4 linked regions of the Oreochromis niloticus genome follow. The protein of the gene in region 2 interacts with the protein of the main gene of each other region in a pairwise test. Links are inferred from orthologs where the notes say so. Each region holds a gene or a part of one and is shown on either strand. Other genes may lie near its edges.

Region 1 (7,696 bases), on a different chromosome or scaffold from region 2:
TGTGAAAAAATGAAATGGTTATATTTTGGTGTTGAGGTTTTTCATGGACTGAGTAGATAGCATGCATGTAACCTTGTTTATAACGGTAAGCTAACCTGTAAGGATGCGATCAATACATTGCACTACCAGCTCTGCATTCTCCATGCCGAAGCACATGGGAGGCTTAAACTTCAAGACATTCTCCCATGGGCCGTCAGTACTGACACATATTTGATCCTCCTCCTTCAGCCTGATTTAAAAGGACAAACTCCAATCACAGAACAGCACATTCTGAATGCACAGCCCTGGGTAGTATGCTGTTTAAAAAAAAATATGAAATGTAAAAACTTGTATGTTGCACTGCAGTCCCTCACCTCTTGACCACATGCGCTGCAGCTTCTGTGGCAGGAGTCTTCTTCTCTCTGTCAGTCACCAGCTCAATTCCCAAAAATAGTCCAACACCTCTACAGAAATAAAGACATGGCCTTTTATTGGAATTATGAAAGAGTTAGCATACTTGTCATATACATTTACGTTTTAAGTATTCAGGTACCAGGACAGCGATTTGCAGTCTGTGTGTGAAAATCCAACATTTTTGTCATTTATATGTTGCTTTTTATACTGTAAAAAGGGTAAACTACCAAATATATGTATAATAGGACAATTTTTATACATTTGAATAATTAGACATCTAAATTAAGTAAGCTTTAAACACCAGAGTTGCAAATAAAAGTGAGACGTCAACGAGGCACTGTAAACATGGACATGTCTGTAGGCAAGCTTTAATTAGTATAGGCACTGAACTTCATTATATGGCAGCTTAATTAGTGTTTTTTTAAGTGCTACGAACTGCAGAATACCGCTGATGTAGCATCCTTACCTGACATCTCCAATTATTTCATGTCGTGCTTTTAGTTTTGTGAGCAAATCTTTAAGGTGGGCTCCGACCCTCACAGCATTTCCTCTTAAGTCTTCCTCCACAATCACATCAAGGACTGCTAGGCCAATTGCACATGACACTGGAGTCCCGCCGAACTGCATGAAGTTGGAGAGTAAAATAAGTGATTTATCTTGAGAATATGCATAAAAGCATTATATTTAAAAGTAACACAGGAACTGTGAGTGAAATGTACGTTTTCAGTTTATCTTCAAAAAACTCTTATTTCTCTCTTAATGTCATTTTAATATTAATGGTTAAATGGCAAAATAGCTATTACGTATTATCAAATACCTGGTTGTGTCTAGAGATCGGGCAATAATTTATGCTACATTAAGGTTCCTGTATAGTCACCGTATTGAAGTACTCCACTCCGTTGGCTGTAAAAGCTCCAGCTATCTCTGCAGTGGTTGCTACGCATGCCAGGGGATGCCCATTGCCCATCGGTTTGCCCATGGTCACTATATCTGGGCAGAAATCGTCTCCCTGAAGCTGAAAAGCCCAGAAATGATGTCCCACACGCCCAAAACCTGTCTGCACTTCATCTGCCACAAACACGCCACCAGCTGAGCGCACATATCTGTGGAAAACATGAGGAGGAGGCACCACACTGTCATTGTTGTGCAACCAGCTGAGCAAAAACAACCAGATAACTGAAGAATTACTTACTCTGCAACTTTAGGAAAGTATTCTTGGGGTAAGATTATTTGTCCACCGACACTAGGCAGGGATTCAGCAAAGAAGGCTGAGATCTAAAGAAAAAAAAGATAATAAATATGTACTATAAATGTAATGTTCTTATTATTAGCACTGTTCTGAGTGTGTGTAGTAGAGATTTTATTGAGCCTGCATGGAACTGGGTTATAGTGTACCTTACGGCCTTTTTTGTGCACATCCTCTATAAGGTCTTTTACTGTGTCAGCATATGCTTGGCCTGGGTCGGGGTGATCTTCTCTGTATATACCTCTGTAGGTGTCTGGTAGAGGTGCCTGGGAGGATGAAAGAACATGTTCTTTGAGATAAGCAGGATTCCAGTGTTGGGTAGCAGTTTTTGTGATGATAGGTTTCTAAATTTACACACCACATGAACCCATTCTTTCTGTCCCGCCAGTTTCCGGAACTTGTAAGGGCTAATGTCGATGAGAGACATTAGATGCCCATGGTATGCGCTAGTGTAGAAGGAGAGCTCATTGTAACTGAAAAGCAAGTGTAATTGCAGGGTTCAGAGGGCTGCAGTGGAGCAAAAATACTTACTGGTCAAGAACTACGACATCTTCATGTTGGGTGTACTGACGTGCCAAGCGTAGGGCAAGATCGTTGGCCTCTGAACTATCAGGAAAAAATAGATGTAACTGTACTTTAGAGAATGTTTTCTTTAGGAGTATGAGCGTGTGCAACAGAATACTCACCCAGAGTTGACAAAGTAGAAGACACACAGTTTCTGGGGCAGGGTAGCAGCCAGGCGGTCAGCATACAGGACTATGTTGTCATGCAGGAATCTTGAATTTGTGTTCAGGACGTCCATTTGAGCCGCTGCCGCCTTTGTGATAGCGGGGTGACAATGACCCACTTTAGAAAACATACATACAACATGTCAGTAAGGGCGTCGAAACGTCCTGCCACTAGGTGGCAGAAGTGTATTGTACTGTATTTTTTAATTGGTTAGAAAAAGACTTGAGAGTGGATGATAATGGTTTTACCATGTTGGACGTTACTGATACAGTCCAAATAGCGTTTGCCATTTTCGTCAAATAAATACTGTCCTCGTGCTCTTACTATTTTCACTGGGTCTTCTGAATAAAACAGTCTACATGACTGGCTGTAATCAAAGAAATGAGTACGTGTCATTAGCACTATATGCACTATAAGCCTGTTAGCAAGCGCCAAGAAAACACCAAGTTTCATCTTACATACCCGATTAGCCTATTCCTCATTGCAAGAGTTTCTTCTTTCCGAAGTTTTTCTTGCGCCATGACCACTTAATCTCTCTCTATTTTAATTTCACGTATACCAAATACAGAAAATGTCATAAACTATGACGGCTATCGACTAGAAACTTGTGAAAAACAGAAAACGCTTTCGCTAACTGACCCAACACGCATGCGTCGGTGGCAGAGCTGAGTTCACTTCCCACTAAGTTCAAACACTTTGTAGTTTTAACTTTTCTTTTTCTCTGTCACAGATAAGGTAGGGTATCTACATTTAATAAATATCTTATTATTCGACCTATATTATAAAATACCTTTGCCTTTATTGTTAGTCAGGAAGATTTGCAATTACGCTCTCGTTTTATCCAGAACGGTGTCAGTGTGGGACGGTCAAAATGACAGAAGGTCGTAAAAATAATTGCAATGTGTTTTGCTGTTAGTTTAGTTTAATTTCGAAAAACAAAAGTAAACCTTATACATTTTTTGTGTGTCTAAACCTCATTTAAGTATCTTTTGAATCCATAGTTGTAAAAGCATGTGACAAAGACACCCTCTCAGTTGGTATCGTCCAAAAGCTATAAATACTCAGTTAATCTGCTCGCCACCCGGTGCACTAGCTGCGCAGCTTTGGTTGCTTAGGAACGGCCAAATGCAGGTAATACATCAAGACAGCTGTAGCATGCTAGCTCGCAACCAGGCTGCGTGACCAAGCTAACGCCACAACTGATTTAGGCATAGACTATTGGGTTAGCGTTAAATTTATGAACGCATATTTTAACACTGGCTTTAACAAAACGTAGCTATAACCGACTGGAATGACAAGCCTCTAACCGGTCGCAATCAGATCGATTGTAATAAACTGACGCTAGTAATTTTAGTGCATTTATCCTATGAGCTAGCTGACAACTTGGTGCTTCACTGGCTGCATCGTGTTCGTGAGCTAGCTTACCACATACCACCTTGCTCACCGGCTATAATCGGAATCCGATCGATCCTGTAAGTTTAGCATTATTTTAATGTGTTACATTGTAACGAACAACAGCTGGATTGCAGTTCATGAATTTTAGCTGATGGGCAGAAACGTGGTTTTTGAGTCGAGATAAGCTGCGCAACACTGTGTTAAACTCGCTTGTTTTGCATGTTTTTTGTATTTTTTAGTTTTGTTTTTTAGATACATTATCCTTAAGTCAAAGCTATTTTATCAAGGTGGCTGTGCTAGAGGTTTCTTGTCATTTTGACAACATCCTATAGTTTTTTTCTTATGCTGATCAAATGGATGTTTGCTAGTCACACTGAAAAGTGATGCTAAAGTTTTATACTAGTTACTTGACAGCTCTTGATTGTGTTCAGGACATGACAGTGGAAAAAGCTTGATCTTGTGCCCCTTAAATAGCATGTCTTGTGACATGTGGAACTAGGCTAGCAAATGCACTGTTTGCCACAAGGAGGAGGAAGGCCCTGGAGGCCACATCTTGACTCAACAGTGATTGAACGAAAGGCTCTTAAGTGAGCTGGAATATAAATGCCATCAAAGGGCCTCAAAGTTGCTAGATTAATATTTGGTTGTTTTTTTGTTTTGTTTTTTTAGGGGTTTTTTCACCCTACATGTGCTCTACACATTCTTTTAAACAGAAGTCCAAAGGCTAATGGGTCATGTTACATTTTAATGCAGCGGTCATTCTGTCTGTTACTTTCAATTTGAGATGTACAGCACTGAGTAATAGACTTCCTGGGATTCCATACATGGGTTACTGCAGGTTAATCTTCTCAGGTGTTTGTGCATTCAGTAACTAATGCATTTTAAAGTTTTTGATTACAAGTAGAGTAGTTCAGGACTGTGTATGTCTCAAGTCCTTGAGACCTGGTTACTATTCTTTTGTCCCCTTTACAAAGATACTATGGTATGCTTCCAGCCCCTGTCCCATTCATTTTTCACACACTTCCCCCTCCATCCTTTCCCTTTTAGCCTTTCCCTCCCCCTTCCATTCTTTACTACTCACAACTCTTGTCATTTAAGTTTATTGGACCCTACTGACTTGACTGTCTTTGTATTGCAGCAAAAGTTTTCACTTGAGTTGTACTCTGCATCTCCTTTGAAATAAAAATTTCTTTGGAGTCCCATTTGGAACGACAATATGAACTTAATTTGAAATGTGACGTGCTGCTTTGTTCAGGGTGACCTCATGTCCATGTGTGATTCTCGCCTTCATGAGCATAAACTCTGCTTCTGCATGAGTGAAAGAGCAGCATATAAATCCTACCTTGGTTCGCATAGTTCTGTGGTCAGTGTTTGGTGTGCAGCTTTTCTGTTCCTCTTGCTATGGGCTTTCCCAAACACTTATAGTTTATAATGGGAAGAAAACTCCCCATGAGAAAGTACCTTCTGTCCCAGTGTGATTTCTCTGCAGTTTGTCTAACCACTTATTTAATTTGTTTTCATCTATTCTCACCTGCCTCTCTAGGTTGCATAAAGATGATGGTGGCATAGTGAGGAAGCTGGTCAGTCTGGCTGGTTGAGGTGTAGAGGGGACGCCACAAACCACGCCAGAATTCTGACTAATGACACTTTCACTGCCCTCGGTAAATCTCCTCATCTCCATGTCTCTCCCTGGATCATAGCTACAAATATGGTGACTCTTATAACAGAGCAACTTCGTAAGCAGAGTTTAGAAGAACCCTATCACAAGGCCTTCTCATTCAGTGTGAATGTGGTGAGTTGGATGGTTTAGATGGAACAAAGTCTTGTCCTTCAAACTGATTTTGTTTCATTGACTTGGTTTTCCCACTTGTGGTTTTGAAAACAAGTCATTCTGTTTGTTACAGTCATTACCTACAGTGGGCTCCAGTCCCACTGTCTCGTGGAGTGCTCATAAAACGACACAAGGCAAGTTTAGTGAATTAAGAGCAACATTTGTGGCAAGTGCGGAAATTTGCCTCATGTTTATCTTTTTGGCATTTTCAGAGAGCTACACCTCAACTACACATCCATCATCTATTGCCAGTGTTCTGGATGACTCCTGTGGACTTGATTCACTATGGCCTACTTCTCACTCTGGAGAATCACTCCGGGGACCAGAACGTCCCTTCAAGGTTTTCCAAAGTTCACCTCCACCACCTCCAAAACGCCACTGCCGGTCCCTCTCTGTGCCAGAGGATCTATCTCAGTGCCGCACCACCTGGCATCCCAGCGCATCAAGGGTTTGGACCCCGGTGAAACGTAGCTGTCACAGTGGAGGAGCATCTAGTTCAGGCTCTGGAGCCAGCTCTTTGCCACTTTGTGGTCCTAGTTCCTCCTTCCCCTCTTCCTCCATACACTCATCTGCTAGTCCTACCTTCTTTAGCTTAGCGCTATCGTCTGACTCCCCGGTATCATGGGGTTTCCCATGGGACCCCTGCGATACACTGAAAGGAGCGTGTTCTGCTTCCTTTGCTACACCTTCTTCGTGCTCTTCTTCGCCGGCCCCGCTGACCTCACACTATGTGCTGCAGCGTCGCTTCTCCCTCTCCCCTGTACACATTCAGAAGTCCCCTATGGTGCCCTTGCCCCCCCAACCCTGTCCAAGTTCAGCTCTGAAATGTGGCCGTTCTGACTTGGAGCACCCAGCCCTGTCTCCATCTCCCACTTCAGCCTGCAGCACACCATCCTCATCTAGGCGTGACCTCCACCCTGCTTTGCCACGATGCCACTCGCAGCCCTGTGACATGCGCAAACCTCGCTTAAAGAGGCGCCATGACCCAGATGTTCTGCCCTACCCGAGGCCAGTCCTCGACTTCAGCAAGATGACACAGGTGAGCAAGGAATGTGGTCCATCAGTGTTACAGTAGCTCTGTGACCAAGGCTAATAGTATTGGTGAGCAATCAAGTTCACTACTTTCCTTAAATGTAGCCTTTTCTTTGAGACCTTATATGACCTTTTTTTTTTTTGCTTTTCTCTCATCACTTATGTTTTACCACTTTATCTTGTTCACTTATTATTTGATGCAAGGATGCAAGATATTTATTTTTTTTGCCTATAAAAATAGTGACATGATGACCACGATGCACATGGTTTTTCCTGCTCAGATTGGTAATCGTGAGAGCCCTGCATGTGGACCAGGTAGCGGTTTGGTTCCAGTGACCTCGCAGGTGGAACGACGTTCAGCTTTCTCTCCGGCAGAGTTCCTGGGACGAGCCAGCATCGGGCCGCTCAGTGAAAGCGAGGAAGAGGAAGACGAAAGGAGGCCTGCAGATGGAGGACAAAAGATTGTTTTTGAAAGAGACTGTACAGAATTGGATCTGAACCTTATAGAAGAAAACTGATCGCTCCTTGGTGCTCTCAGTGTGATAACTGCATTCATAACCATGTTAAGCACACCTGCAGGCTTTTTTTTTTTTTTTAATATAACATGCTCTTCTGGCAGTTGGTGGAAACCTGCTGCCCTCTCTATACAAATGTCTAGACTTTAAAAGTAAGATCCAATGACCCCATGTGGGAGGCTAATATCCAATGACATTGCTGCGATCATAACACTTGAGCTCGCTCACTATTCAAAATTGCACAAATTTTGTCAGTGCCGGCCTGTAGAAGCACTCCTTAAGGAAATGTGCATGAGCGAACAAGCAAGATTTAATGCGCACACATTTTTGACTAATATTTGATATTAAGACGAGTCTTAATTAGCAAAAGCCATTGGTTTGCATCTTGATAGCCTTACATATCCTTATCAAAGAACTTTATAGCCAGGGGTTGACAGAATGTTTCTATTATATGACACACACTAAATGCCAGTAACTGAATGAGACCGATTGTTGTTCAGTGCTGCTTCTGATACTCGAGCAGACTACTTTTGTATTCGGCTGACTGATTTAAAT
Region 2 (7,571 bases):
GATCTCATGCATTCATCCATCTGCATACAAGCTTTATTACCTGTGTTTAAGGTGCGCCTCCAGGTCACAGCGAGGCATGCTGAGGGAGCAGACAGGGGTCAAAGGGCAGGACACAGACAGCTTGTCCAGCAGCTTGTGCACCAGGATGCTGGACCTGCGACATGCCTGCAGCTGCAGCCGCGTCCTGTCCAGAGGGCAGAAGTCCCTCTCCTGGAGGAAGCTACGCAGGCAGCGGGCGCAGAAGGTGTGTCCGCATGGCGTATCGAGAGGCTGCACCAGCGGTTGCAGGCAGATGTGGCACACCAGATCGTCGTCCACTTCCAGACGGTAGTTGTAAAGGTGGTTTTCCCAGCTGCGGTGGATCTGGCCACACTCGGGACACAGAGCCTCCAGAGCTGGCTCCATGGACCCAGCCAGACCCACCTCGGAGCCCGGGCTGCCCATGTCTTCTCCTTCAACACAATTCAGCTTTGGCACGACTGAGTCCAGCTGGGATGCAGAGCGGTTGGGAAGGGGCGCACACACTCCTATCCCATAAGCTTCAGAGGCTGAACAGGTGGCGGAGAGGACAGATGCCCCCCAGTGGCTGATGGCACATCACCCTGTGGGTCAGAGGCCAAAACAAGAGAGTTAAACAGCTGTTTCAGAAAAAAACAAGACAACAAGTGTTGGGCATTTATTCATGTGGCAAATGCTTTGTGCACGTGTGCCCACGTGTTTGCATGAGACCGAGGGTGACACCGAGTGTGTGTGTGTGCCCATTTATGTCACAGCTGAGATTATGTATTGCTGCTTCTGTCCACTAATCTGGTAGTATAATCTCTCTTTTGCTCTCGCCTGCTCCAATCTTCCAATTCCACAAAGAGGGAATTATCTGGGATTGAGGCAGAGAGAGGGCACAGATCAGAGAAAGTGAGCTTGGGAAAGCAGCAGAAAAGGAAAGTGGTGCCGACAAGATATGGAAGGGAGCGTAGACAGGTGGAATAAGAAAAAGAAGAAGAGATCAATGGGATGTGAAAACAGGTACAAGGGAAGAATAAGAACATGAAATGGAAGAGAGGATGGAGGGAAGGAGGGGGAAGCCAAGGAAAACGCTTGATATTTTTGGTTCAGGCTGGGTACAGTAGATGAACTCAGTCTCCTCTACAACGGAAAGAGAACACGCCCAAAGCAAAGTCTTGAAATATAGCACTCCAGTGAGCAGAGCGTGTCCCCAGAGCTAATGCACCGCAGTGTGCGCTGATCATTTCCACAGCGTTTCACATCCAAAGCCCCTCAGACCCCCTCGGCCCTTCTATTAGCCCAGCCTCCGAGGGGCCAGATGCTATCAGCCGACAGCAGAGGGCGTGCCTCTACGCTCAGCGGGCCCAGCCAAGATACAGTGACTACCTGCCTCTGTTCCAGCGAGGGTCTGCTCCTGTCTCCATGACGACCTGGATCCCGTTCTGCTCAGTGGGGCTTGACATTCAGAGTGTAGCCAGAGAAGGATGCAGAGGAGCCACACAACAGATGCACTCCTCTCAGCAGGATGCTCTCCTCCTCCTCGGTACAGCCTGAAAGCTTGTCAGACAGCGCAGACGATGATGATGAGAGTCCCCTTGAGTCGTTTTTTTCTGCTTTTTTCATCTCGTCTGGGTCTTTTTTTTTTCCTTCCTTGTGACAACCTGTCCCTCCTGTCTCCTTGGCCACCCCACCGGTAGTTACTTATTTCAGCCTCCTTTAAGTACGTGCTCCTCCTGTCTGCGTGTGACTGGCTGCTTCTGTCTCTATCCCGCAGCTGGACATGAATTAATCATGAGGACACAAGGCTTCTCTGTTTCTATAACAAAGATGTGACATCACCACATCACACACACACACACAAACAAACACACGTACACACACACACTCGTAGACATGCGAGCGTAAGTCTACACAACCAAAAGCAAACACGCACATCAAGCACAAGAGCGTTTTTAGGTACCTGTGAATGGTCTTTATCAATAAGTAAAGTCTTCGTGTTTTCACTGTGACGGCACTTCAGAGCAGTGAAAAGCACTTAAATGTGTTTTAAACAGAGCTGTTGCAACAGATTCTTTTATACAAACAATATGAAGACTGGCAAATGCTTGTAGAATATCTCTTTTAATCCCACCACACAGTGTGTATGTACGTGTGTGTATGAGAGTCCAAGGCCAGGCTGTTATTGTCATTGCACTGCTTTCCATTTCAGTAAATAACACTCTTGTCTCTCTGCTTATTGTTCGAAATGACAATCTAATCTTACAGGACATGGCAGTCCAGTGTGCAGGAATTACATTTTCAAAGAAGATGAAATGATGTTTTAGGCCACAGATTTAAAATCTCAGGTCCTCTCGGCTTAGCCTACATTTTCATAAAACCCCATCTCTCTTATCTTAAAAAAAGGCTCTGGTAGCCACTTGCAGGAACAGGCCTGCTGCTGCTGCTGTTCTGCAAGGTCTGTTGCAATAGGCTGCCTTTTTTTCTTAAACCACCCCCCTCCACACCACCCAGACACACAAAGATAACAAAAAAAAAAAACAAAAAAAAAGACACTGATTTAATTTAAATTTACAATTATTTTTTTCTGGCATAGACCTGATCTACCTTGGGAGCGCTCCCACTGCAGTGTCATGATCAAATACGCAAGCCCGACAGTCTTGCATATACCAGAAATTCTTTTTAATCATTGCCCCCCATCTGTCTGACTCCATCCCACCCTCCCCACAAGCGGAAAAACCTGGGACCGATGAGGCGACAGCAGCATAGAAAGCAAAGCCAGCCACACACTGACACCGCTCGCGCGGGCAGATGTGATGTGACGTTACCTTTTCCGGCGGCTCCTCCGCGCCGTGCACTCCGGCCCCAAAAAGGGGGGTGATTATTAGCCGCGGGACCTCAATCACGCATCCACCGCAACGGACCGTTCCGCAAAACCCGCACGAAAACGCCCCCGTGCCTTTGGCAGCGCTGACCCCGCCCACTGCTGTCCGTCAAAACCGAGTGGGCGGGGCATACGGTTGTCAATCCAGAGGAGAGCTAGGGGGTGGCTTTAAGACCGCCTTTTCGTAAATAAATAATTAACAACCAAATAGACAAATAAATAAGTAAATAATATAATATAAAAATAAATAATAAAACAAAATGCGTTTAAATATATTTATGCATAAAAATTCTAATAAGTCAGCAAACACATCAAAATAAACAGATATATTTGTAACGCAGACAAACATAGGTAAATCGATACACGAATAAACACGTATAACTAAATAAATAAATATATAAACATACATACATACATACATACATACATACATACATGCAAAATACATAAGTAAATACATATACATAAATAAATAAATAAATAAATACAGGGAACAAACAAAAACGTAAATAAATAAATGCATACATACTGTAAGTTATTCTTTTTGAAGATTACTGGTTACATTGTAGGCTACTGTTATAAAGGTTTAAAGGGGGCGTGAGATTAAAACTTATTAACATGACTTAGTTTTATTTTAAATAATAAGTGAAACTTAATATTACAGCTTTCAGTTTTGGATAAATGCCGCTTTTAAAGATGAGAATGTCTCCCTTTCTCAACAAGTTTTGAGAGATGTTAATAGTTAATTAGCACAAAAACCTTTCCACTGACGTATAACATTCACCAAGCAGAGCAATAAAATAAACAAACCTCACCAGAATTTAGGTCGTTCTATGGTCAGAAATAATGACGACAAAACCACTGCCAACTTCTTAAGTTAAGCTAATATTTTTGATGAACACAGCAGCTTTATACCAGTTTACGGTAAAAATGGGGAATTAAAAACAACCACTGCGGCATCGCTTTCGTTTTACTAAACGGGTACATTTTGTTAACTGTGTGATAAACAGAGCCCAGACCTAAATATCAGGATTTCTTTTTTTTTATTATAACGTTTTAGTCGGTTACTGTCCACGAAAGTTATTTGGGAAATGGCAGAAAACAGAAAAGGGTGGACGGTGAAGTTAAAAATGATCTGGCATTATTCAGGGCAGCAAAAATCCTCGGGGTCCTCGGTCGGAGGACCTCGCGAGGAGGTAAACAAGCGATGTTGGGTTAATTAACGATCATCCATCGATTTTAGCGCAATTAAGCTTGCGTGTGATCGCGATGGCAGAAGATAATGAGCTGGAGAAGTATGTAGCTGTGTTAATATTTGTCCTCACTCGGTATTTGCGCACTGTTGAACGCAGGTTTCCTCTAAATCCGTAACAGCGCTCCGTCGGTAAAAAAGAGCCTCATTTATTGTGTTGTTAGACGAGCTTGTGATTGTATGGAAAGCCTGCCTTCGTGGTGGCACACACCATCAGCTGCCTGTCCTTTATAAAAGTAGATCAGCGGGTCTCCTCTGCTGGGATTGTGCCGATTCAGCAGCTCGGGTCAAACCAGGACACTGTTCCCCTTTTGCTCCTGATGATTCACTTTCTCTTCCGCATCACTCTGTTTTCTCTCACTTAATTAGATTATTCTCCCCTTGGCTCCCCCTTGAGGATTTGCGCCATCTTTGTCCTCGGCTTCTCCCCATTTCTCCTCCCCTGCATGTGAACAGTGTTTGACGTTTTTTCTCTTTATTTATCCATCTAGGCGTGCAGTGGAGGAGCTCCTCAGGGAGACTGACAGAGCCCGCGTGAGAGCAGAGACCATGGGCCCTGCAGGATGGTGAGCACCGTGTCTGATATGCCATCTGTCTGACTCTTACTTATCTGCTTTAGTAAGAAGGCTTGGTAGTTGAACCCCACATAATGTGTGCATTGCACTTGAACTAAATGAAAATGGCTGCAGTAGTGTGCGATACTGTAGATTTTTGGTATCGATCTGATACCAGGTACATAGACGGCCAATATTGCCGATACCGATAATTGTAAATTGTAAAAGAAAATTAATAAATCGTCATTCATTTGCAACAGATTTAATGAGCATTAAATCGCTGTCATTGTTACTTTTCACTATAATTAGTTAACACATAAAAACGCATCTTTTAGCTTTCTGTGAAAATGGCTTTTTTGGAGACTTGCAGTCTAAATGTGCAGCACGTTAGGTTAAATTCTCTAGCTTATAATGTGCTATAAGCTATAAATAAAATTGATGTGGAGGTTAACACAAAAAAAGATTCCTGTAATTTTTTCATAGTGCATACCTGAAGTATATTTTTCACTAAAAATGATTTAAAGCAATTCCTTGGGCTAGATACTGAACTTAGAGGATAGAAACAAAGTATCGTTCCTATTGCACTAGTATGGATCTGATACCAAAAGCAGTGTTGGTATCAATACTATTGATACTATATTTGGATTGATCAACCCACCTCAAATTTGAATCCAGTGTAGAACAGGGATAAGAGTGGTGACAAATAAAAATGACTGAAGGTCGAAGGTGCAGTACATGGTACAGTTAAGTAATTGGCATCCATAGCATGTAGGAAAATCCTAGGCAGGTCCTGCTAATTCAGATTATGATCTAAGTAATGGGATAATGGGGAAAAAGTATCTATGTGACAGTCACACAACTCCTGGTGTTTCAGCAGGAGCAGTGAGTAAAGTGAGAGCAGAATCATTCCATACTAAAACAACAAAATACACACACGCGCACACACACACACACACACACACACACACACACACACACACACACATATATATTTTTAGTGTGATTAATAAAGCCAAAATTTTACCTTCAGAATGACCATTTTCAATGTTGCAGTCCCTTGAAGAGGGCATGAGTGGGTCAGATTTTGGCACTTTTTAATTTGGCTTATTTCTTCTAGCATCTCAAACCCTCATAACTTCTTCTACAAAATATATCTACTTAAAATGAACCTTTAATTTCATTTATACTCCGCTAAAAAGTGCAACCATATGAACTTTACACGTGCTCAAAATGTCACATCCTAGAATAGAAGAGAATAGAATGCATGTATTTGTCTCTGTATAGGTGCACAATGAAATTTGGAGCATCTCCCTGAGCAGTGCATACAATTAAGATGCATCAAATACAAACTTATTTTAACTTGAAGTGAAAGTTAAAATAGACACAGATACCCATTACGCTGTCCTTAATGATCTTAGACAGGATGTTCATAGTAGAGGCAGTGTAATGTTTTTTTCTATAGCCCCTGAGCAAACTTTGAGCATCAGTATTATGGGCTAGATCCTAGCTTTAATAGCAAAACTGCACAAATTTAAAATCTATGAGAGCGAAAGTAGTATTAAATCATGACTGTGTTAAAAAATGATTTAGATTGCAAAGAAGAAGGTGACCCCAGTGTAAAAATGTAGGTAAATGATATATCTTGTTTTGACCTGCCTCCAATCTGACATGGTGACCCTTTAAAATTGACCCAAATGCTTTTTTTTTTTTTTTTTTTTTTCAGTGAATGACCAAAACTCCAATATATCCCATTTAAAACTTTACTTTAGATCCTGACACTTGCAGTGGGCGTTACATTGATTTGGTTGCTGCTTTTAACAAAGCTCCAATTTGTTTTTCACCTCCTAAGTTATGAGTATTAAAAAATGCTGGAGAAATACTGTAGACTATAAAAGAGTGTATTCAGAGGACATGTACCTCATTTTGTAAGAGGAAGCATGGATTCATTACATACAATAAAGTTATTGTACTAAAAAAAGAATATCTGATACTGATAGGAGGACAGATGGAAGGCACTGATTGATTTTTCATTGAATGTGTTTAGATTTACGGTCCCATGCTGCTCTGAGCGATTTAGATCAATGGGAAAGGCGTCAGTAAAACGGGGTTGGAAGCTGTGGTCGACTGCACACATTTGATAAAAGTGATGGTCGTGCATCAGTGCACCCAGTAAAAGTAAAGAGCAACTCCTTCTCAGATGAATGAGGATGTCAGTGCAGGATGTAATCAGACTGTCACCAAGAACCGCCCTACTGTAAAACAATTACAATAGAGCTGCACTGCATTCATCCCTCATTACAATGAGCAGTGCACATTTGAGAGCGAGTGGTCGTATTCTCGACTGGTGGATGAGCGCCTGTGTGGCAGAGAGCAGTCTCCTAGCATGGTTTGTCCCCTCATTGAAAGTCAATATGAAGATTTTAAACGATGGCCTTTCTCCTGTGCTGAAAAAGTTCTATCCCGATGGTAGTCGTCTCTTCCAGGAGTCATCCTCAGGGAACTAAGTGGTTTAAATATGAATGTAAATTTTACTTCATGGCTTTCACAGTCACTAGATCTTCTTACTAAAATGCTTTATGTTGGGGATTTATTTCCATTAATTTGCCTGTAGTTAAATGTTTGGTATTGTGTAACCAGCATGTGAGAAAATTAATTTCTTGTTAGCAAAAATACAGTTTTAAAAATGTTTGCTTTGTTATTGTCTTTTCTCTGCACTGAGTTCATGCTTTAAGGGCGTTAATAGGGTTCTCTAACTAATCTAGGGTAATATATAACCAGTTTGGTAATGTGTAAAAACACCATGATGTCCTGGAAAATGTTGGAATGTTTGATCTTGTATAAATGCATTGTGTAGTTATTCTTGCTACTTTTTATCTCACTG
Region 3 (6,969 bases), on a different chromosome or scaffold from region 2:
CTATGAGGCTTCTGAGGATGCTGGAGTGACAGAATATCAGAACGTCAAAAATACACAATCAGCCTTATTTTAAAAGAGGTTAAGTTATGAGTCAGTACCCGATGTGACCAAACTGGGCTGCAGCGTGAATGGCAAACTGGGGCCAATCGTGGCTGCAGACCATGTTAGGGTCAGCCCCGTGGTCCAACAGGAAGTCCACGCAGGCCTGGTGTCCCTCCTGAGAGGCGATGAACAGAGGTGTACTCAGATCAACTGCCTGCGTGTTCACGTTGGCACCTGAAGTGAAAGCAGGTTAAAAAATTAACTGTGTAATCTATTTTACTTAATTACTTCCTAAAGAAGAGGCCAAGAGGACTTGGAGCATGAGATCCTTTAACAAGGAGGGAAAAAAATGTACAGCTACCATTAAAAGTAAATCCTATTTACCGGCGTTAACGAGTATTTCCAGGCACCCCCTCTGTCCGTACTGTGCAGCCACAAATAACGGGGAAATCCTGTAATCATCTACTGCCTCCAGGTTGCATTTGTTAACAAGAATGCGCACGATCTCAGTGTGGCCCTTTGGGAGAAACATGATCTTAAATACAATCAGCAAACACACAAGGACCCCACAGCTAACGCTGGCAGCAGAGAGCAGGAACGTTTAAGCCCTACATTCTTCACAGTGAGCATCACATGAAATCGCTGCATCCCTGCATTCTGCTGAAATTTTATGTTCCAGTTTGCGCCTTTTCTGCAGGTGTTTAAAGGTAAAAAATGTGTTTATTAATAACTGAAATGTAATAAAAAGGTTAATACATCCACAAAGTCTCTCTCTCTCTGTGCCTTGCAGCCAGTCAGAAAACATAAGGGAAATAAGGGAAAATCCCCAACAGATGTGACCATGCTTTCCTGACCGAAACCAAAAAGTCATGATCTACTGTTAAATGAAAAATGTTTGTTTAAGAACGTGAGTGCTAATGCTAATGCCTACCTTATATGCAGCTTGGTGCAGGCAGGTCCAGCTGGACTCTGTGTGTATTCTGTTGACCTCAGCACCTTTGCTTACCAGCAGTTCTACAACATCTGTGTGCCCGTGGCTAACAGCTGGAAGCAAATTTTGGGACACTCATTTGGTTAGAGGAGCTTAAAGGGTTAGACAAGCAAAAACAGAAAAAAATTAAACATCAGTGAAGCGCAGTTGTAATACCTTCATAAAGAGGACAGGACAAGTCGTTAGTGAGCTGGTTGATATCAGCGTGTGCTTTGAGGAGCAGTCGGACCACTGACAGGTGTCCACGCTGCGCTGCCAGGTAACAGGCAGACTCCCCCTCATGCGTCAGATGGTTCACATAAACACGACTACAGCTGGAGGACCTTGCTGCACACAGGGGAAACCAAAGAGGAAGAACAAAATGCAAATGAGAGAAACCCACATTTAACTTTAAAACAGCTGCTGAAGTGACTGATTTATCCATTAATCATTCACATCCATCTGGAGTCTAGCAGAGAAGTAGAAGGAGTAGAAATACCCTCAGAGGTGGGAAGTAATGAAGTACAGATACTGTGCTTCTGTACTTTACTTTACTTTGAATTTTACCCTCTTCATTTTAACCAAACATCTCTACTTCTTACATTTTCTAACCAGGCTGATTTTTGTTAGGTTTACCATATGTGAGCTACTATTTCCTGTCTTTGGGTACTTTCCAGACATCGAACTAATCAGACCCCAAGCAGAAGGAACAATATCCATCACCGGGGCTCGCACATGAAGAGATCAAAGAGTAAAAAAAAATACAGTTTGCATCATTTATTTATTCAGTATACTCTGGGTTTTAATCAGGCTTAAATCAGGTTTGGGGAACTCCAGGCCTCGAGGGCCGGTGTCATGCAGGTTTTAGATATCACGTTGGATCAACACACCTGAATCACATGATTTGTTCATTACCAGGCCTCTGGAGAACTTCATGACATGTCGAGGAGGTCATTTAGCTATTTAAATCAGCTGTGTTGGATCAAGGACACATCTAAAACCTGCAGGACACCGGCCCTCGAGGCCTGGAGTTCCTCACTCCTGGCTTAAATGATATGGAATGCTATTTTTTTGGTGCAGATGCCCATAAGCTGCGGCTTGTGCTACAGAAGAGGAGGAGAGACTAACATTTTCTAATGGGCATTTTAAATGCAGTGTTTCTAAGAAATATCATCAAAGCCACCAACTGATTCATACACTGGATTCCACCTTTGCACTAGCTTTATGCTGTCAATGGGAAGGACATGTAATGGAAAATATTAGGATTCTGCTCTTTTCAGTGTCAAGCTGACCTGGCTCAATGAAAGGCTCCACAGTATCAGATTCTGCCTGTCAATACAAGTACAAGTACATCTTTTTCACAAAGAAGCATCCATGTAAATCAATAAAACGATAGCTCATGTAACATCAGCTCATATCCTGCTGGATAAATCCATAAAGAGGAGCAGGACAGGCTGGCTGATGACAGGCTGTGCACAAAATCTGTAAAATCCCACTTTAACCTTTCACTATAGTCATCTTACTGTTTGGGTTTCACGACAAAGTCACACATCTAAAGTGCAGTCAGCAGCAAAGAGCTTTTTAAATTCCCTTTCTTTTTTTGTTCAGCATATCAGGAGTTCAAGCTGAGTTAATTTATTAGAATTTGAATTTAAGTTGAAATAAAGTTTGTATAAATAATATTTTATTATAATATTAATATGGAAGGTGGAAGTTTGAGCACAAATCAGAGTGTGTACTTTTGTGTACTTTTTCACCTTTACTTGAGTAAAGAAGTACTTGTGTAACGTACTTGAGCAGTCACAAACTGTCGTCCACCTGAAATACCACATCGAGCAACAATGTGAAAGCACTTTGCTTTTCAAAACTTTGCCAGTTGTTGTTAAATGTTTGTTGAACTAAACATGCTGCTGTCTTAAAAATGCAAAATGAGCATGTATTTATGAAAAAGCAATAAAGAATCTCACTTTTCACTTTCTATCAAGTGAAAGCTGCCTTTACTGCTGTAATGGGCCCAGACCTATTGTGTTAATGTATGAGAACATCAGGAACATCAGGAGTGGCAGAAAAGTATGTGAGGCTGGTGCAAGACATGTTAGAGGACAGTGAGACAGTGGTAGAGGAGGGTAGGAGTGACAGATGGGTTGAAGGTGAGGGTGGGATAAGATCCGGGATTGGCTCTGAGCCCCTTCTTGTTTGGAGTGATGGGAACTGTTGGACACTAGGGTCTCTTCTAACTTTGCATCCAACGTTAGACAGGTAAGGCTGAGACCTTTCGGATATGTGCAGAGGAGGGACAGTGGCCAAAGGATGCCGAAGATGGAGGTGCCAGGCAGGAAGAAAAGAGGAAGACCTCAGAGGAGGTTCATGTGAAGGAGGACAAGAAGAGGGTTGGTGTGACAGAGGAGGATGCTGGGATAGGGTGAGACGAAGGAAGGCAGATGATCCGCCTGTGGAGAAGTAGTACTGGATATCTGTGCAGCAGCCTCTCTTACCTCTGACAGCTGACAGGATTTCCTGGACGCACGCTTTGCTGCCAGCTGCCGCCGCCTCGTGCAGGGGGGTCCAGCCTCGGTTGTCCCGACAGTCCACACTGCAGCCTCTCTGAATTAGCGTCCTCAGCCGCCTCCTGCACCCTGAGCGAGCAGCAGTGGCCACACTGGACACCGTGTCTCGGTAGCACTCAGTGAAGTCCATGCCCAGGTTCACAGAAACATTCGTTATTTTAACTTCAATAAGGATTAACAGTCAAAACACAACCTCAGAGTTACTCCGGATGATTTTACACGACCCGACGTACACATTTCAGTTGGATCCGGAAAAGTTTTTAATTAAAATAAAGAAATAAAGGTGTCTTTATTTACCAAATAGACATTAGGAACTGAACAACGGCATTCCGAGCGTCGCCTGTTGATGACGTCACACCACAACAACCCTACGATCCAGCGTCGCGTGTCAGCTGTAGCTTCAGCTAATCGTTTAGTCGTTAATTGTTGCTGAAATTTGCAGATTTTCAGGCATGTTTGGAGAAACGTGAAGAAGAAGAGACTGGAAGCTTCTTCTCAGCGGGTTCAGGAGGCGCTCTGAAGGTAAATGCGCTTTATTTCCCATCACAGCGAGACATTAACAGAGTTAATGCAGCTGTAGCAAAGAATCGGATGTGACCGTCAACATACAGCCGATAAGTACTGTGTGTACTCCTGACCTACACGTCATTCAGAGTAACATTTGTGCCTGTAATTTAAAACAAACTGTCAGAAATCAAACATATCACATATTCATCATTTAAATCTGAAATCTGGCCCTCCTGACTAACTGTGGACCAGGGAGACCAGCGGTCCCGCCTTATGTGGGACTGCACAGCATTTTTATTACTTAAAGTAGAAAGAGTTGTTAAAGCTAGTCTAGGTTAAGCAGAGACGTGATGATCGGTGAGCAGCAGTATGTTTTCATGCTGAGACAGAACTCTACAGATGTGATGTTTGAGAGTGCTGATGGAGAAATATAGAGAAGGTCATAAGGAGCTTCACTCTGTATTTATGGATCAGAGAAAGCAGAAAATAGTGTGTCAAGAGAGGAACTTTGGCACTCTGCCAGAGAACAGGGGTGAGGTGTGCTGTAAGAGAGACGGGTGGGCTGAAGGTGAGGGTGGGATTACACCAGTGATCTGCTCTGAGCTCCTTTGCAGTGGTGATGGACAGGCTGACAGATGAGGTCAGGCAGTAGTGTCCGTCGATTATGATGTTTGCAGACGACACTGTGATCCACAGTTAGACGAGGGAGCTGGAAGAAGCGAGAAAGAATACATGCGTGAATGAGAGGGAGACAGGTGGAAGAGGCTGAGTGAGTGGATGAGTTTAAACACCTAGGGTCAACCATACAAGCAACGGACAGTGCACAAGAAGAAGATGGAGACAAAAAGACAACACGAGCAAAACATGTTAAGATTTTCACTGGAAGTGACAAAGATGGACAAGATTGGAAATGAGTACATCAGAGGGAAGCTCAGGCTGAGTGGTTTGGAGACAGAGAGAGTGAAGCTGGGATGGTTTGGATGTGTGCAGAGGAAGGATAGTGGATATATTGGAGCTGCAGCTCCAGTATATCCACTATCTCATTACCTTTGGACTATCGTAATTCCATCTCCCGTCTCCAGTTCGTTCATAATTCAGCTCCCAATGACATAAGCACATGACTCTTATTGTTTCTGTCTTACAGTGGCTTTAATCAGTCTTTAATCTTGTCTTGTATCTGTAACCTGTTCTCTTCATTGTTTCCAATTTTGTTTCCTAGCTCGTTGGCTCAAAGGTTACAGCAAGCCGCAGCATTATGGTGGACATCTCTGTGAAAAGTGAAGCTGCTTGGGTCTGTCACTCTCAGGGGCGTCACCTGGCTGACGTCGTTCTTCCTGTTCACATCAATAACACGGCCAAAGAAGAAGATGAAGTCAGTGAGTTGGACAGAGAAGAAACTCACTGGTAAGAGACTTTTAGCTGATATTAAGAAGCAGTTAGTGCTATAATTAATAGGCAGTTGCAATTAATCTTTGTCTATTCGCACAGAAGGCAAAGATGAGAAGTGGATTTTCCTTTTATTTATGTGAATGGTACATTTCCCACTTATCTGCCACACACAGTGGTGATCCAGTGCTGCTAGAGCAGATGGAGGAAGGGTCTCCTTGTGTCCTGAAGTTCCACTGCAACCCCAGCTTACCTGCCACCATCAGCCGCCTGCTCGTTATAAGTGAGGCTCGAACCATGGAGGTGTACAGCCAGACTGGAGAGTACTGTGGGACTGTACGGGGATCGAAGGACAACAGCATCCAGCTAGACAGGTACACAGGCTGCACAGGTCAGAAGAGCCAATGAACAAAGGTCTTCGGTCTTCTGATAAAGAAGCTGCTGATTGTCTGATGTTAAGAAGTGATGCTTCTTCTTTTGTTTGTGGATCACAGCGCTGACAGAGGGCCTTTCTATAAGAAGCAGCTGATCATTGAGGAGCCATCCTCTGCCTGTGAAGTGAAGGTAAAACAGAACATTTTAATTTATGCTGTTTATTACGCAGTCGTGGTTGTATGAGAGTCTAACGAGCTGCTTCTCTCTCCCAGTTACTCTCCCTGGCAGGTAGGAGCAGTGTTATGGTGGCTAAAGTCATCGTGAGTCTTCAGCTGCTGCAGTCCTGCCCAGCCCCAAACCCGGGCATAGACATGCAGCGAGTGCAGTGTCTGATGGAGGAGATGGGAACAAGCCTGTCGCCAGGAGCTCAGAATCTCATGGAAATGGTGCAGTTCCAGCAGAAGGTAAATTAGCTCAGAGATGCTCTCTCTGACATTTAAAATGTGGGCGTTTCCTGCTGACCAGTAATATTTCTGATAAAGTGCAGAGGAGAGTATGTCTTATGGATTTGAGTTTCTGTGTACCTCGTCAGGCCTCTGTCTAAGATGTTATTGTTACTGGAACTGGAACGGCTTCTCTGAGTGTCCAAAGCATAAGAACTAACCGGACATAAAGAATGAAACAGCAAGCTGGACTGAAGCATGTGTTGGTGTTTGTCTCTCCAGAATCAGACCGGCTCTCTGGCTGGTTTCCTGCCTCTCCTGATGGGCAGTGGAGCTTTCTCTGGTTTGGGGAGAGAAGTCAGCATGTGTCCAGGAGCTGGCAATATTCTGCCTCGACCTGCAGAATTTAAGGTACACGACCCATTTGTGCTGTTCTTTGTTCTTAGATTAGACCATTAAAAAACTCGGCCCACACCAGTTTGGTGGAGAAGAAAGGAGTGAAGTGATTTTGTGAGTGTGAACAGAGCCTGAAGCAGAAAGCCTGGATTAACTAAGAAAGTTCAGAAAAACTAAACTGGCTGGAGTCTGAGGTTTGGTCTGGAGTGTCTGCCAGAACTTTAATCCATTAATGCTCCCTGTTTGATGAACTCAAAGGAAGACCTTGGACCACTTCATTGAT
Region 4 (7,690 bases), on a different chromosome or scaffold from region 2:
GGAGTGTGACATGTGCGAGTATTTATTAGCAGCGACCCACCTGACCTTACCTGCAATTTAAAATCTTTATCTCACTTCTTTTCACCCCCCCCCCCCAAAGTCTTGAGCAAACACCAGCCATCTGCTGATAACTCCTGCTAATCTACTGGAGGTCAGAGCGCAGGCAGCCAAGTGTCCTCCGTGCCCTTAGCCCCCCTGACTGTCCTTTCACTTTCCTCTTCAAAAGGTTGCCAAATATGGGCTACAGTGGAGTGGAATATGAAGGTGGAGGGAGAAGAGCCAGACAGAGAGGAAATGGGAGTGGGCACAGTTTAATCACCCAACAGCAGCAAATAAAGAAACCGTAGAATTGCCCTCTTTTTACATTGGATAGAGCAGGGTGAAGGGAGAAGGAAGAGAGAGTCGGAGCAGTAGGCGAACCAGGGAACAACAGGGACAGTTTAGCTTAATAAATAGTTCTAGTGGAATGCTGCAGTTCAAGTGCTTCCTTGATTCATATCCGTGGTATCAAACACTCATCACGTCGCCCAGGGTGAACATAACATCGACTCCATCACACTAGTGTTCAAAACAAGTTTTTGGGACTCGTTTCAAGGGCTGAAAATTCACTTTCCATTTATAACTTCACAGTCTGTGGGCAGGGGACTACCCATTCAGACATGCCTGGGATCGTTACTTGTTTTTTTAAACTAGTTTGGCAGAGAAGGGCACATGTTAAAACTACATGTCAACTCACTGTAGCAGCAGCTTTGCTTGCCATTGTCTAATGACCAATAAAGCACAGAAAGTGAACAACAGTTATCCAAAACTTCAGCTGCAACCGTGTTTCTAATTGACGGCATATTCTCGCAAGGGAAAGCACTCCTTACACAAGCTTTTCCCCCAAACTGCATCTGCAGAAAAAACAGAAAACGGGAGGGCTTTTGTTCACGCAAAAAACGGCCATGGACAATCGAAACAAAAAGATATTTAGAGTTGAATGGGAGCAGTGACGAGAGGTCCTGGCTGTCACACAGAGGGTCCCTGGGGGTAGGCTCAGAGCAGCACACAGCACCAGAGCTGCTGGATCATATTTCCTCCCTGGCGCTTCACCAGAATGACCTATAGTAACCCCGGAAGGGCTTGGGGAAGAGGTTACTATAGGGCATTTTCGCTTTGTTGGAAACAGTGATCAGATTATGCTCTGGGAACTCGCCAATGGTGGCTTTGTTTTGTTTCCCCAAACACGTGCGCCTCATTAAAGTCATGTACATGAAAAAAAAAATAAGATGTTATTTCTTTGACCCGTTTTAGAGGAGATGACGAACACATTTACACACTCAAAACAATAAGAGGAAGTAGTTCACAGTTATAGCTGTTCTAAGGCCTATGAGCAAATTTCCTTGCGCACGGTGTCTTTACAGCGTGCGAGCTTTCAAAGTACCTCGTCTGCTCCTGCAGAATCAGATGGGGCTCCACGAAGAACTTGACCCGCAGCCTGAGCCGACAGGGTGTCAAATTATCCATCTGCTGGCTGATGCGGTTCCTCAGATTCAGCCACAGGTTTTCTCCTTTGCTGCCTGTGAACTGCAGCCCAAAGTAGTCTACTTCGATTATGCCCAACTTTCTGCAAACCTGAAGAAAGACGAAACAAGCAGGGGGGGGGTGTCACAAAAAACACACACACGAAGTGAGACGTGAAGCTTTTCACCACAGGACAGCGACAGCTGGTGAAGAGCTCCTTTAAAGAGGCAATCAATAACTTTTCTTGTCATGTGGAAAGTGACGAGAACCAACTGAGTAAAGTCCCACTGGACTTTTTTTTTATTATTATTTTTACAAGGAAATTCACCAGTACTGCTGTTACTGCAGATACTCCGACACACAAACCCCCATCAATATTCTGAAGCTCACGAAGTGAACTTGGAGCCCCTCCCGGGGTACAGGGGCTCATCAAGCCCGCAATCCCACGCTCCTCCGGCGGCAGCAACCATGGGTTTATTACATAACTGCTGCTGAAAGTCTGCACAGGGAGCCAGGAGGCTGAGATAAAACTCGTTCTGTGCATATTAAATAGATTAACATCATAATGAGGAGGGGAAATGGCAATCAAAGGAAATAACAGTTACTACTGTGTCCATGTTGAGTTGGGGGTGGTGGTGGGTAGAGATGTGAAAAGCTAAGTTTCATCTTGAGAGGCGGCAGGATGACCTGGAGTAACCTGCACAAAGCCATCTGCCTCTGACTAAGCGAAGGAGCCTGAAGTGGCAGTCGGCAGCTTCCCAGCAACCTAACAAAACTTTTCTCTACGTGTTTCAGCCCCGTGGCTTTTTGACAGAAGTGACACTTTAGAGGGTTTGTATTATTTAAAAAAGAAAGAAAGAAAGAAAAGAAAAACACGAAAGAAGAAAAAGTTGACCTTTTTTCTGCACTTGGCGCTCAGAACATTGTTTCCTCAGTCCTTGTTTGCTACAAGCAACAAAGCAGGTGACAGTTTTGTTGTAGCTTAAAGCTGAAGCTCACTGAAGCTGTGGCGAATTAATTAATTAAAGAAATAAAAACAAATAAAATCTTCTAATCGTGCAGAAACTTGGCTCTTCGGTCTTATTCACCACATTTAGTCGACTCATAAATGAATGCGACACATTAGAGGTGAAGTTGACAGAAACATAAGAAAATATTTTTCTGACAACCCGAGCCGTGCTGCCTCACCGACGCACATACGGCGACGTGTTATTCTCACATGAAGACACAAAGAAGAATAAAACGTGCTGTCCGTCTTTACCTTGTTGAGGCAATCTTCACCGTTCGCCTTCGCATCAACTTCCACTTCCATCACCACCGAATCCGGACGAGTAACGTGGCAGAGCATTTTGGCTGTTTGTTTCTGGAAATCTTTGGTGTGCCACTCTTTAAAACAATCAACCAACTCTCGAGCCTTCGCTTAAAAAACAACAACCCCTCTACATCAAGCCGTCATCACTTTCTTAGCCCTTTCACTCCGTTTGGTGTTCGCGGCCACCAGCTGTAGGGTATATCAATGAAACGCCGCGCACAGCACCGCCTATTTGACACTCTGAGCCAATGAGAAGTGGCGTATCATCCGCACACCGCTCGGGCTCGAGCTCGCCTCCCGTGCCTTGAACTGCGAGGAGTCCACTGCGCCCTCACCTGGCTCGCCTGTTGCATGCACCTGAACTCACCTTGTCCTCGTGGCTGTGATGTTTCAGCGAGCTCGTGCGGATCTCCGGGTGAGTTTAATGGCTTGTGTACCGTCAACCCTTCGTTTCGTGTGAATAATGTATGTGGAAGCAGTCCAGAAATAACTCCCATAACTGGAGCGCATTCAGCTTCGCTGGTTTGCTGTTTTCCATCCAAAGCTTTTTGTGATTTTTTTTTAATATATATTAGCAACTTCAACTTTTCCATAACGCTGCTGCGTTTGAGTGTTGGAGAACGTGAAACTGTTTGATTATAGTGTGTCAAGGTGGGGGAAAGGTCAAGATAAAACGGCTAAGAGAGACTTAATAATTCAGCCTGCTCTACCTCATCATTTCTTCACATCTTGCTATTTCATGATATATTATTCAGCATCAGTGTGTAGTGATGCCAGATAAGACACTGCAGAAAGCTGCAGCCACACTTAAACTATGGAGGCATAGTATTCAGCCAAGCTCTGAGTTTGTCTGCCAGCGGACATTTTAGAGTAGATGCAGTGTGCCTCTCTATGTTTTTCTACTCCCTGGCCACTGCATTACTGCCTCGCTGAGTCCTAAAAACACTCACTTCATCATTCAGATATTGTATTAAAGCACTTACTTGGAAGGGATGTGAAAATAAGATTCAGCTTTACATACTGCACATTTAAAGATGTATAATGTGTTCCGTGGCCCTTTTATTTGGATCACTTTTTGAATGCCAAAAAGCACTGACACTTTTCTTCAAATGAAGTAATTTCCTGGCAGCCGTGTTTTTGTCTGTACTAGCTTCCGATTTATCACATTTAAATCTTACCTGAGGATCCAGGTTTCATTTATTTAAACCATGAAAATCCTTGCGACACGAGGAAAGTGATTTCACCCAAACTCGGGTTCCGGATAGATTTTGCCAATCTGGGTAGCACCATAAATTTTTATTCGCGCTCCAAAAACACAAACAGAGTAAACAGGTATGCGACAGTGGGAAGGAAAAACTCCCTTTTAACGAGGAGAAACCTCAGGCAGAGCCAGGCTCAGGGAATGGCAACCATCTGTTGCGACAGGGAGTGAGGAGAGGATGATGGGACAAAAGACACGCTGTGGAAGAGGGTCAGAGATTAATAGTAACTAATGATTAAATGCAGAGAGGTGTGTAAACACATAGAGAGTGAAAAGAGGTGAGTGAAGAAGAAACACTTAGTGCATCATGGGAAGACCCCTTCAGCCTAGACTTTACGCAGTAGAGAGGATTAATGGGTCACCTGATCCAGCCCTGACTATAAACTTTATCAAAAAATAAAGTTTTTTAACAGTTTAATCTTAAAAGTAGAGGGTGTGTTTCTTTCCCAAATCCAAACTGGGAGCTGGTTCCACAGAAGAGGGGCCTGAAAGCTGAAGGCTCTGGGTCCCATTCTACTTTTAAATACCCTAGGAAACACAAGTAATCCACAAGTCTGACAACAAAGTGCTCTGTTAGGATAGGTACTAAGAGGTCTTTAAGATATGACATGGCCTGATTATTCACGATTTTGGGAGAAAGATATTAAATTGAATTTTAAATTTAACAGGGATTTATCAGAAGAAGCCAATATGGAAGAAATATGTGCTCTTTTTCTAATCCCTGTCAGTACTCTAGCTGCAGGATTGTGGATCAACTGAAGTCTTTTCTGGGAGCTTTTAGAGCGATCCAATAATAATGAATCACAGTAGTCCAGACTAGAAATACTAGGTTTTTATTTTTGATCACATCAGATAAAATCAGTATGAGAAATGTTATTATTCTCATTTCAGGCATTATCAATTTCTCTTCCCTTCAACGACACATCGCTGCCTATATTCAAACGTCGACTCAACAGATTTTATCTGATGTAACATGTATGTGTGTCTTTCTGTGTGTGAGAATGTCAGCCAGCTTGGAGTAGGCAATGTCCTTTTGCCCCGAGGTGATGCAAGAAAGTGTGCAGTGAATGAGCAGAGAGACGTGACGTCTGAGCAGCCACCCGGACCATAAATGGAAAAGCAAGCATATAGCCAGTGACCTACCATTCGCTGTTAGTCTGGGACTCACTGAGCAGACTGCCAAACACATACTCTACTACTGCTACAACACACAGAGCTCCAGCAGAAGCACAGCTGCTGTTGCTGTTATTGGTTTACGCTTTCAAAAATTCTCTCTTTGTCCTACAGCACCCCAAAATAAAGTAAACACATGCACACAAACACAATTAGACGAATGAACCAATATTTATGGCAAACGCAAAAACATCTGGAGCAACTCAGTGATTTTATTCATTCTTTTATTTTTCACTTTAAGTATTTTATGCTTTATTTACCCAATTAGTTAATGTATATTTTGGTAGCCTGTGACAAAAATAGACAAACTATTTTCGACGCATGTCATCGCAACTGTAGCACAAAGAATAAAGCATAGAAAGGAAAATCATTATCACGACTACCATGTTGCACATCTAGGTCAATTTCAAGGGTAGGGCATCTATTTTTTTTTTTCCTTCCACCATCTGCGCTCTTGCACAAACACAGACCATTTGTAGACTCCTGGTTCGAGGCTAGGTATGACATCATGCAATGTGACATCACTTCCCTTTGAGGCAAGTCACATCTCACTCGACTGAAGCATGCATGCAGGGGATTTGTGCAAGAGTGTGTGTATGTGTGCATGTGGGCACATGACATCACAACGTCATCACTGCCCAGCTCCACTGGCATAGCTGTGCCTGTTGAAGCAGATATTATGTCAGAATGTGCCATGCTAGCAGAGCTGCTGCGGCTGCTGTTGTTGTTGTGATAGCTGTTACTACTTCGCTTCTTTTTCTGTCAATCTGTCGCTGTTAAGCCAAAGGAAGAGTAGTACTGGGCAGCTGGAGGAGAGGAATTGTTTACCAAAGTATGAGGAGAGGCCAGAGGGCGATCAGCTCCTCTGAGTCTGAAGAGAATCATCGGCCATGGTCGAAAGACTCAAAGGATCGGTCGTCACCGTGTGGACGCTCGTCAGAGGGAGATTCATCGTCGGAGTCTGATGTGGAGGCAGAAAGAGCAATGAAGAGGAGCCAGAGGTTCAGCAGTTCTTTCAGCTTTGGGGAGGATCAGGAGGTAGCGTCAAAAAATGAAGGTGAAGAAGAGGAACAGTCACCAAAGAACTCGAACAGAGTTTCCGTCAGAGAGGTGGTGGAGTCGGATTCTGAAGGAGAACATGCAGAAATGGAGGAAAGAAACAGTTTTTGTGACACAGATCAGCCAAGGTCAGGTTTATTCAGGCCTCAAGAATTATGGCTGGCGGTGACAAAATGTCTCTCCCTCCGGTGGCCTCCTTGTCTGTCCATCAGCAGACAAAGTAATAAGAAATTAGCCTACCAAGTGGATCTTGACCAATTGGAGGACACACAGTCATCTCTCACCTCAGAATCAACCAATGAGAGTTCTTCTAGTACATCTGCCTCAGATGGCAGAGATGTGTCTTTGGTGAAGCAAAAGGAAGACGATGTCAGAAGCAGAGGGGTTAAAGGTGGCCCTCCCACTCGTCGAGGGGTGTCTCGGTCCTCTCCCAGATTACCAAGAAACAGACAAGCTGCAGACTCTGTGCTGGCTTCGATGATGTTGGAGAAAGAAATGTTCCTGAGGATTGAGCTTGTTGATTCAGGAGAAGAGAGGGATGATTTACGCTACCGGGCAGAATGGAAGTTGTCAGAGAGAACTAAGGAACTGGCAGAGGGAGTGTGGCTCTCTCGAAGCCTAACAGCTAATAGACTGACCTCTTAAATTAGAGGTTTGGTTGTCTTTGATGTGGTGGACTTCATACCATGCACCATGTAGGTTAATTATATTCAAATCTTAGTTAGTGTGACTGCTGATTAGAAATGGCCCAGATTTCAGTGAATAATCAGTGAGATTGTTTTTGCATGAAGACTGTGTAAACCGCCGCCTGCTGATATAAACTGTGCTGATTCAAATGCAGTCACTGTGGCTAACTAATTAGAAATGCTATTTTCAGAAACGCAGCGCTGCACAGTTAGTGTCAGTGTTTATTTTTTGCCTTTCTGGGTGTCTGAGAAAATATTATACACATGGCTGGTTCCATGCATGGGAGGAAAGGGAGATTTAATCCAATATATCATGTGTTTATGAATAAAAGCCTTTTTTTGCAACCTGGAGTTTGTTTTTATGAGTAGTGAGAAAACAGTAAAACCACAGACTGTCATACCATGCTTAAATTTGAAAATAAATACATAAAATAAATGAAAAGTTTAGATTCAAAAAGTGAAATTATTGTGTAAAACTACTACAATGTGAACCCAAAAGCAATTTTAATGGACACTCTGTGCCTGTAGGTTATAGTAATCCCACTTAGATTTGTTGTGATTTGTACTGTATTGTACTACCATTTACAAACATCACATTAGGGAGGAATACTGGGTGAATCCAAGCAAGGAGTCAAACATATCATTTTGTGTCCACTCACTGGCCTCTTTATTAGATGCTCTTTGCTAGTGCTGGGT

The links.
Region 1: the proteins of lnx2a (region 2) and phykpl interact in binary tests that used the Homo sapiens proteins (3 or more experiments, as listed by UniProt). The link is inferred for Oreochromis niloticus from reciprocal best matches to the Homo sapiens genes LNX2 and PHYKPL.
Region 3: the proteins of lnx2a (region 2) and lg8h10orf88 interact in binary tests that used the Homo sapiens proteins (3 or more experiments, as listed by UniProt). The link is inferred for Oreochromis niloticus from reciprocal best matches to the Homo sapiens genes LNX2 and C10orf88.
Region 4: the proteins of lnx2a (region 2) and mylipa interact in binary tests that used the Homo sapiens proteins (3 or more experiments, as listed by UniProt). The link is inferred for Oreochromis niloticus from reciprocal best matches to the Homo sapiens genes LNX2 and MYLIP.

What each region holds. Positions count from the first base shown.
Region 1 is NC_031966.2:26,039,971-26,047,666, forward strand, and holds the start of phykpl (5-phosphohydroxy-L-lysine phospho-lyase), read right to left. Parts: upstream 3,021-7,696; 5' UTR 2,890-3,020; coding exon 2,831-2,889; intron 2,736-2,830; coding exon 2,617-2,735; intron 2,486-2,616; coding exon 2,326-2,485; intron 2,246-2,325; coding exon 2,171-2,245; intron 2,086-2,170; coding exon 1,998-2,085; intron 1,906-1,997; coding exon 1,789-1,905; intron 1,669-1,788; coding exon 1,586-1,668; intron 1,497-1,585; coding exon 1,271-1,496; intron 1,015-1,270; coding exon 860-1,014; intron 444-859; coding exon 354-443; intron 230-353; coding exon 96-229; intron 1-95. Other genes in the region: protein FAM53C, read left to right, coding at 5,472-5,555, 5,650-5,728, 5,807-6,633, 6,908-7,144.
Region 2 is NC_031974.2:18,923,278-18,930,848, forward strand, and holds the start of lnx2a (ligand of Numb protein X 2a), read right to left. Parts: upstream 3,003-7,571; 5' UTR 2,829-3,002; intron 1,778-2,828; 5' UTR 1,390-1,777; intron 603-1,389; 5' UTR 445-602; coding exon 41-444; intron 1-40.
Region 3 is NC_031973.2:113,511-120,479, forward strand, and holds the start of lg8h10orf88 (ATPase PAAT), read left to right. Parts: upstream 1-3,961; 5' UTR 3,962-4,101; intron 4,102-5,305; 5' UTR 5,306-5,341; coding exon 5,342-5,490; intron 5,491-5,648; coding exon 5,649-5,846; intron 5,847-5,966; coding exon 5,967-6,036; intron 6,037-6,119; coding exon 6,120-6,311; intron 6,312-6,572; coding exon 6,573-6,701; intron 6,702-6,969. Other genes in the region: asb3 (ankyrin repeat and SOCS box protein 3), read right to left, coding at 1-20, 99-276, 427-559, 974-1,086, 1,190-1,360, 3,508-3,709. UniProt on the Homo sapiens protein: ATPase that regulates mitochondrial ABC transporters ABCB7, ABCB8/MITOSUR and ABCB10. Regulates mitochondrial ferric concentration and heme biosynthesis and plays a role in the maintenance of mitochondrial homeostasis and cell survival.
Region 4 is NC_031985.2:20,357,496-20,365,185, reverse strand, and holds the start of mylipa (E3 ubiquitin-protein ligase MYLIP-A), read right to left. Parts: upstream 3,005-7,690; 5' UTR 2,852-3,004; coding exon 2,765-2,851; intron 1,615-2,764; coding exon 1,424-1,614; intron 1-1,423. Other genes in the region: dtnbp1b (dystrobrevin binding protein 1b), read left to right, coding at 3,167-3,230, 6,031-6,953. UniProt on the Homo sapiens protein: E3 ubiquitin-protein ligase that mediates ubiquitination and subsequent proteasomal degradation of myosin regulatory light chain (MRLC), LDLR, VLDLR and LRP8. Activity depends on E2 enzymes of the UBE2D family.